Danio rerio: one gene and its partner. The protein of the gene in region 2 purifies or fractionates together with the protein of the main gene of each other region. This does not show direct contact. Links are inferred from orthologs where the notes say so. Each region holds a gene or a part of one and is shown on either strand. Other genes may lie near its edges.

Region 1 (4,235 bases), on a different chromosome or scaffold from region 2:
AAGATCGATGAAAACCTGTAACCATTGACTTCCGTGGTATTTGGTTTTCCTACAATGCAAGTCAGTGGTTTTGAGCTTTCTTCAAAATATCTTCTTTTGTGTTCAACTGAAGAAAAAAAACTTGGTTTGGAACCACTTGAGCATGAATAAATGGTGAGTACATTTTCATTTCTGGGTTAACTATCCCTTTGATGTTCAGGCAGGAATGCATTTTAGTCATAATCTTATAATAATGTACCCTTGTCTTTTTTTAATGGTGAAAGTGGAGAGCGGTTTAAAGACAGACCTCCATCCGTCTCTGTCCACCCTGAAGCATCATGTCTGGAGAAGGAGCTGGAGGAAAAAGTCTGACAGTCAGCCAATCACAAAGCACCAGAGGCATCAAAGCCAATTACAGCAGGGGTCACATGATCACACTTGGCTGCATATGATTGGCATGGCTGCAGACAGCGAAGAGCTCATCACTCAACTTCATGCAAACTTCTCAGAGATGACCTTCACAGAATATATAATGAGAACAGGAGGTTCTTACCAAATGAGCTTTTCATCATTTAATGGCTAAACAAGTTAATTAATTCAATATAATTCATTAAGCATATGTACTCTAAATCTACAAAAACCTGTTACCATGCCAGTGCTACCACTTGGCATTTGTACAACTACGAATATGGTGTATATTACATGAGTAAATTGATTATGTGTTTGTATGTAAAATGAATATTTATGTACTTTTGTACTTATGTATGTATATCTCAACAAAATGGAAGGTATTTTTTATTCATATGCAATGTTATATAATATTTTATCATATTATTTATGATACATATGATGACACATGCACAAACAGGCTATGTAATTATATATATATATATATATATATATATATATATATATATATATATATATATATATATATATATATATATATATATATATATATATATATATATATAACCAGAATACTTTAGATGGGCCTAAGTTATATACAAATACATACATACATACAAACATTGATTAAGTTAAAGTTATAATATAGATTAACCTTGATTAACTATTCTTTTAATTATGTCTTTACAGGCTACATGGACTTTAAATTGAGCTTATCAACTGAGACTACCTAGCCTATACATGACAACGCCTCAGGTGGGAGACGCGGCTAGTATTAGTCATAATATCGATAAACCTTGATTTAACTCTTCTTTTTAACTCTGTCTTTCAGGCCACATTGACTTAAAATTGAGCTTATCAACCGACACAACATACATATACATACATGACAACGCCTCATGTGGTCGACGCGGCTAGTTTGTCCCTCTTGTGCGCTGGCCCTTTAAATCTGAAGTGCATTTATGGTGTCGGGGGCGGAGCTAGTGTACGTGTGTCCAATCAGAGCGCGGGATGCTGATACTGGAGTGAATGCAGGACGTGGGACTCTGATGCTGATGCTGGGGGACCCGCACAGTGATGGAGCGGCGACGACGCTGAAAAGGTAACGAAACGTGATTTAACGACACCCATAGGCTTTCATTCACCCCACTAAGACAGGGTTTATAGTAAGGAATCGAAATGAGGCCCGATTCATCGATTCGAGCTAATTATATTATTTCTGAATGACGGAAAATGGGCTTAAATCCGCTGTAGTATGAACGAGATGAAGCGTCGCTCGATGCTGTTTCAGATGCATTTGCTTTAGGATTAACAGTCAGTTTTGCTTCAATGTTTTTGTTCGTTTTAGTGTTAATGTGTCTTCGTAAACGCTTGATATTGCTTTATGGATATTTATTTGTGCGGTCTAATTGTCTAAACGTGAACAATTCGATGTGAACGTTAGATTGACGTTTATTTAGCTGTATATTTATTTGGATACACCTATAATTTTGTGATGTGGATTTTGGTGCATTCCATTTTGAAATGCACGTAGCATTTGGTGGTTTTCTCAGCGATTTCTTCTCATTTAGGAAAAAACATGGGCATGTATGACCTGTCAGCCTCTAGGAGTGATTTTTTGGGGGATGATTGACAGTGGTAAAAGCCAATCAGAAAACAGCTGTTATGCGCACAGCCAGTGGCTTCTGGATGAGGGAGGGATTTCACATGCGGGTTCTGTCTGGTCTTTAAAATATCAAATAATTTATTGGTTTTCGGACATTGTCTCTGGGAAATAATAAAAAATTAAGGGACATTATTTTTCTCACAGTGTGACCTACAGGCATCTGTTAACAGTGGTTGTGTAGTTTGAACTGTCACTCTTTAAAATCCATTCAACTGATATTATCAGTAGGCCTATTACTAAGATTATCTGAGATGAGAACTATTCTTAAATAGAGATTTACAATGTATTATTTTAGATATAAAGATATTACCCTTAAGATATTATCTAACTCTAAGTATCAATAATTTGTCTCGTACAATGCATTCTGAATTATTATATGATTTCTAATGTACTTTTAAAGTATTACAGTGGCTATCAGTACATTCTGAGGAAAAATCTTGTCAGTTTATGTAGCTTGGTTAAATAATATAGTTATTTAATATAATATTAGAATATATAGCTTTCTGATATATGATCATAAGGTTCCAAAAAGCAGTCCCATAATACTGGAACCATAACGAGCTTCTGGTATCCTCAGATGCCAGATCTGTATCCTTTTTATTGTAAATTTAGCAGGATATTTATTCACGTAAAAATACTGGAAATTGTATATGAATTTTGCATGTTATATATAATAATATATATTTCTATGCACTGAAATATGCAGAAATCTTCAGATATTGCTATTAATTTCATAAAAACTTAAAGATAGAAGTCAAACACTGAAATATTTGTCCATTTTAAGCCGACTGACTGAATTTTTTAAGCATAGCTTGACATATAATCTGTGCTTGATTTATTTCATTGATTTGATATTATTAGTATTATTAACTGAGAAGAGAAATATACTAAAATAAAGGTTTACAGTGTTTCACTTTTTATTTTACAATAAACAAGGTATAACCAGAAGTGTCAATAATTTGCCTCATACAATGAACTCTGAATTATCGTATGATTTCTGTTTTACTTTTATAGTATTATGGTGGTTGTCAGCACATTTTGTGGTAAAATTTTGGCAGTTCATGTAGCTTATTTTTTATATTAATATACAACTTTCTGTTATATGATTATAAGGTACCAAAAAGCACTCCCCATAATACTGACAATATAGCGAGCTTCTGGTATCCTCAGCTGCCTTTTTATTGTAAAATGAGCAGGATATTTAATCACATATTTTAATGCTTGGAAATTGTATATGAATTTTGCATAGGAATTTGTGAATATGCTTTCTTATGCACTGATATATGCAGAAATCATCAGAAATTGCTATTGATTTCACAAAAACGTAAAGATAAAAGCCAATACATTGGATTATTTGTCAAATTGAAGCAGACTGAATGCTTTTTTAAAGCATAGTCATATAATTTGTGCTTGATTTATTTTATTGATTTATTTATTTTAGCACAGCAAATTTACCTAAATAAAACCTTATTGTAAGATAAGGATTTAATTTTATTTGTGTAAAGGGGTGATATTTGGTTATAGTTTTTTAATGTAAAATTTGTACATTTATAAAAGAATCTTTTTGTTTTATTTCATTTTATTTTTGTTTTATTTTAGATTATTTTATTTTTAATATTTTTTTAATTTGATTAAATTTTTATTTTTTACATTTTTATTTAATTTTATTTATTCCAATGAAGTATGCTGAAAAGTGGCATAAATTGATTTTAGATGATGGACTAGTGACTAAAATATTTCCCCAGGGTAATGATGAGGTCTGTAAAAATGTGAGTACTCATAGAAATGATTGACTTCAATTTTATAAATGTTTTGGATTTAAACTGTCTTGGCTAAACTGCATTCAATGCAACAGATGTATGGCTTGGCCAGATTCTCTCTGAGCATGTCGTGTTATTGAAGTCTGGGTAATTTGCCCTTTGTGCCTCTGTGAACACACTGTTGTCAGCGTCAGAGTGGGTGGCAGCGAGAGTCAGTGGCTCGTGATATTCATCCCGCCACCTTGATTAAGCCATTTATGCTGGAGAGCAGCTGCCTTCTATATATTACTGACCAAAAAAGCGCTTTCTGCCATTTAGTTCTCATTTAACTCTGCTGACATTTCCAGCTCAGTCTCTTTGAGTTACGTTCATGGAGACCTAAAAGCTTCATACGCTTGCTGCTGGCATAGATTAGATTTTAT
Region 2 (3,500 bases):
TTGTTATTATTATTATTATTATTATTATTATTATTATTATAGTTCACATTTTTATGATTAATTTTCCGAAATAAAGACCTCTGAGGCAATCCGGCGCATAATTAAAACATGTGATCTATACATAAAAGCATTTGAAAATTTGAAAACAAATGATGGAAGCATTAGAAAACATTTTTCAAGACAATGACAATGAAATTACATCTGGTAGATTAAACAAAAAATCCACCTGGAGATGAAAGAGCCCACACATTTGACAAAATTTGCAACAGTTTTAAAGACAACCTGACAAAGTACAGGTGCTACCTCAAACTGTTCTTTTTCTATTCTTTATTAAATGAAAATAAACGTCCTACCTGTTGTTTGGATGAGATTGTTGAACCTGATGTTGTTCCACTGATAAGAATGAGCTTGTGTTCTGCTCAATCTTCTGTTCTCCTATTTTTAGTCTCTCATTCCTTCTCATATAGTCTGTCTTTCCTTTTCAACCAACAATGTTTACATTTCACCCGTGTCTTGTGTTAATATGTTGACCTTTTAAGTCTGTGTTCAGTCAGTTTGCCAGACTAACAGCACACTACCATATGAATAACATCCTCTCCTTTAAACCACAAGCTTCAACCAGTCAAAACCAGACAAACATTATTCAGTGCAAAACCGTTTCCTATACACTGTTTATTATTTATTAGTAAAAATCACTGTATTAGTTAAGGACGATATTACATAATAATTTAACTTAGATAAATAATAATAATAATAATAATAATAATAACAATAATAATAGCAAATAAACTTCAACAGATGTAAAAACCATACTGGACAGTGCTGATTTTTTCTTGTAAAATCTTGTGAAAATCTTTTTATTTATATAAACACCTGATTAATTTTTCTTTTTTTAATAATACAAAAAACCAACTGTCCAACTGACCCACCTCTCTCACTGACACTCTCGATCTCCACATCTTCACAGCTGGTGTACTCTGGTGTGGAACCGGCCTCTTCCTCTGAGCTGCTGACGGACATCTGCCTTTTGTTGCCACCCCGTTTGCTCTTATAGGGGCGGGGTGGGGGTGGTCGCAAAGACTCTGATTGGTCAGAGCTGAGCGAATCATTGCGCAGCATGCTCTCTGCTTTTTGCCGTTTTGATTTGCGCAAAAGTGCAGCCGAGCCGGGGTCCAGGTGGCTCGGCTGCAACTTCCTGTCCCATTCCTGAGGCTCCCTAAGCTCAGGTGGACCTGTGGGCATAGCAGGGCCCAGTTTGAACCCCGGTGCAGGAGGCTGAGGGGTGTGGTTGGTTTTAGGTGTTGGACCCTGCATGGCAGGCATACCCTGCAAACCTGTTTCCCCCGCGGTCCTCTCTGGCACATAGGTTGGCTGTGGGCCCTCCAATGAGGCCTGTCGCCCATCTGCCCATCTACGTGCACCTCTGTTGTCTTGCACCATGTCCCCCCCTTCCCTTGATTTAGGGTGCAAGCGTCCATCAGGCTCCGTTGGCCGGAGTTTCCCCGGGTGATGTGGAGCGTTTGGGTCAGTCCTGCACTGTTCCCTGGGTGGTTTCTGCTCCCCCTCTGTCCTCCTTGTCTCAGGACTGTCATGCTCCTGAGAGCGAGTTTTCATCAGTTTTCGACTTTCTCTACGATTTTCTCCGGTGTCCCGCTCTTCGGAATGGATTTTGGAAAGCCTTTGCCGCCTCTCACCTCTTGGCCCTGGCTTTCCATTTTGATCAGAGGCTGCTGGTGGCTTTTTTCTAAAGGGTAAATAAAAACACAACATCACAAAGATATTCAGACAGTCTTATATAAGGATCTTTAAGCCTGCTACTGGGTAGACAACATCCTGAAGAGTTTAGCCCCAAGTTGGCCCATTAAAGTTTAAGCTATAAACTAGACTCTAAATCCTTGAGACCAACTGGCTACTAACTATGCAAATTACACACCAGCTTCAGCAGTGTATGACCCCAGATATACCAACTAAATAACAGGTTGGCTAGGCCATGCTGGTGTTGGAAGGAAGTTGGTCTCCCAACCTAACCAGCTAAAACATGCTCACATTTCCTTTAAAATTGGCTAACAGACATGTTAAAACACATTAAGAGTTTAAAAAAGACCAGCAATATTTTACTGAGAGAAGCTGAAGTGTACCTATCTTGTGGAGGCTCACTGCGTGAGCGCGATGATGGTGTATCAGCTGGGCCTGCAGAAGGACATTTTCTAGGGTCGGTTGGGGCAGATGTCTGGGTAATATGGGCAGTGGAAATGGAGGAGTCGAGAGGGTTCTGAGACCTAGAGCGCATCTTCTTGTCCCCAGAGGGGTCTCCACACATGGCTGGTTCACTCACTGCCGACCCCAGCTCTCCAGGCTTGGGCACTTGACTGGGAAACCAATCTCCTGATTTTGTGAGCATATCCTGTTGCCTTCGGCATTGGTTACATACCCACATTACCTGGGATTGAAGAAATATAATATTTAAAATTTAAATGTAAGGTTTGACTTGATCTTGTAAAGATGAAGTGTGTTATTTCATTAATAAAACTGCAAATATTATTATGAACCAAAATAATGACTCAGATTTTAGACAGTTCTGTGCCAACTGCACAATAAGGCTCCGAAGTCAGAGCAGTGGGCAAATGATTACTTGCAGTTTATTGTAGTCTTAAATTGGACATAAGAAAGTTTTTTTTGCATTACACACTTCACCTGTTTGCAACATATAAACCTAACAACATGTCAACAACATGTAAACCTATGGCACAACACAACAACATGTAAACCTATGGCACATTTATGCTTCTGAGCCAGTGATTAAATGATTAGTTTACTCTGTTCACGTGGTTCACTCAGAAATTTTTTTGCACTTTACATGATCCTAGCTAAAGAATTTGAGTCTTACCTAGTGAAACAATAGATTATTTCCCCCAAAAAAATAAACAAAAAAACTTTTAAACCACAAAATGTTGTCTGGCATTAACTCTAGATTGTGTGGTTAAAAATTTGTATTATTATATTTATTAAGAAAATAATTGTTTCCCTAAGTAAGATCCTTGTTCTTCTGCTGGAATCATTTATATCCATTTGAAGCTGCATTAAAACTGCAAATTAGAAGTTTAAACCACTGTGTACCATATATGGCAAGTGCACAATATGGAGGAAAATCCTGCACCATTTCAGCAAGAACCTTAATTTCTTTTCAATTGAAATGAACATCTTGGATGACAAAGGCTCAAGTAAAATATCAGGAAATGTTCCATTAAGTGAATTAATAACATTAAGAAAAATAGTGCACTTATCTTAAACCTTAAATAAATTGTATTACTTTACAAACATTTTAAAGAATTAAACGCATGGATGTGTAATCTAAAAGACATCTACGCTGACAGAAAGTCAACAAAGCTACAGATGAAAAGCCTGTGTGTGTGTGTCAGTTAAGCCTTTCTTCATCATGTGAAGACCAAAAATAAAAGCTGAGGCATTAAAAAAAGAGCTAAACTGGCAGAGACACCGAA

Evidence for each region. The genes of interacting proteins can lie anywhere in the genome.
Region 1: the proteins of rims1a (region 2) and erc2 purify together in Homo sapiens (affinity purification with western blotting; 3 studies listed by BioGRID and IntAct, with this or other methods). This does not show direct contact. The link is inferred for Danio rerio from reciprocal best matches to the Homo sapiens genes RIMS1 and ERC2.

The regions. Positions count from the first base shown.
Region 1 is NC_133186.1:39,767,269-39,771,503, reverse strand, and holds the start of erc2 (ERC protein 2), read left to right. Parts: upstream 1-1,435; 5' UTR 1,436-1,489; intron 1,490-4,235. UniProt on the Homo sapiens protein: Thought to be involved in the organization of the cytomatrix at the nerve terminals active zone (CAZ) which regulates neurotransmitter release. Seems to act together with BSN. May recruit liprin-alpha proteins to the CAZ.
Region 2 is NC_133188.1:30,910,912-30,914,411, forward strand, and holds part of rims1a (regulating synaptic membrane exocytosis protein 1), read right to left. Parts: exon of another isoform or gene 2,849-3,500; intron 2,441-2,848; coding exon 2,139-2,440; intron 1,745-2,138; coding exon 930-1,744; intron 1-929. UniProt on the Homo sapiens protein: Rab effector involved in exocytosis. May act as scaffold protein that regulates neurotransmitter release at the active zone.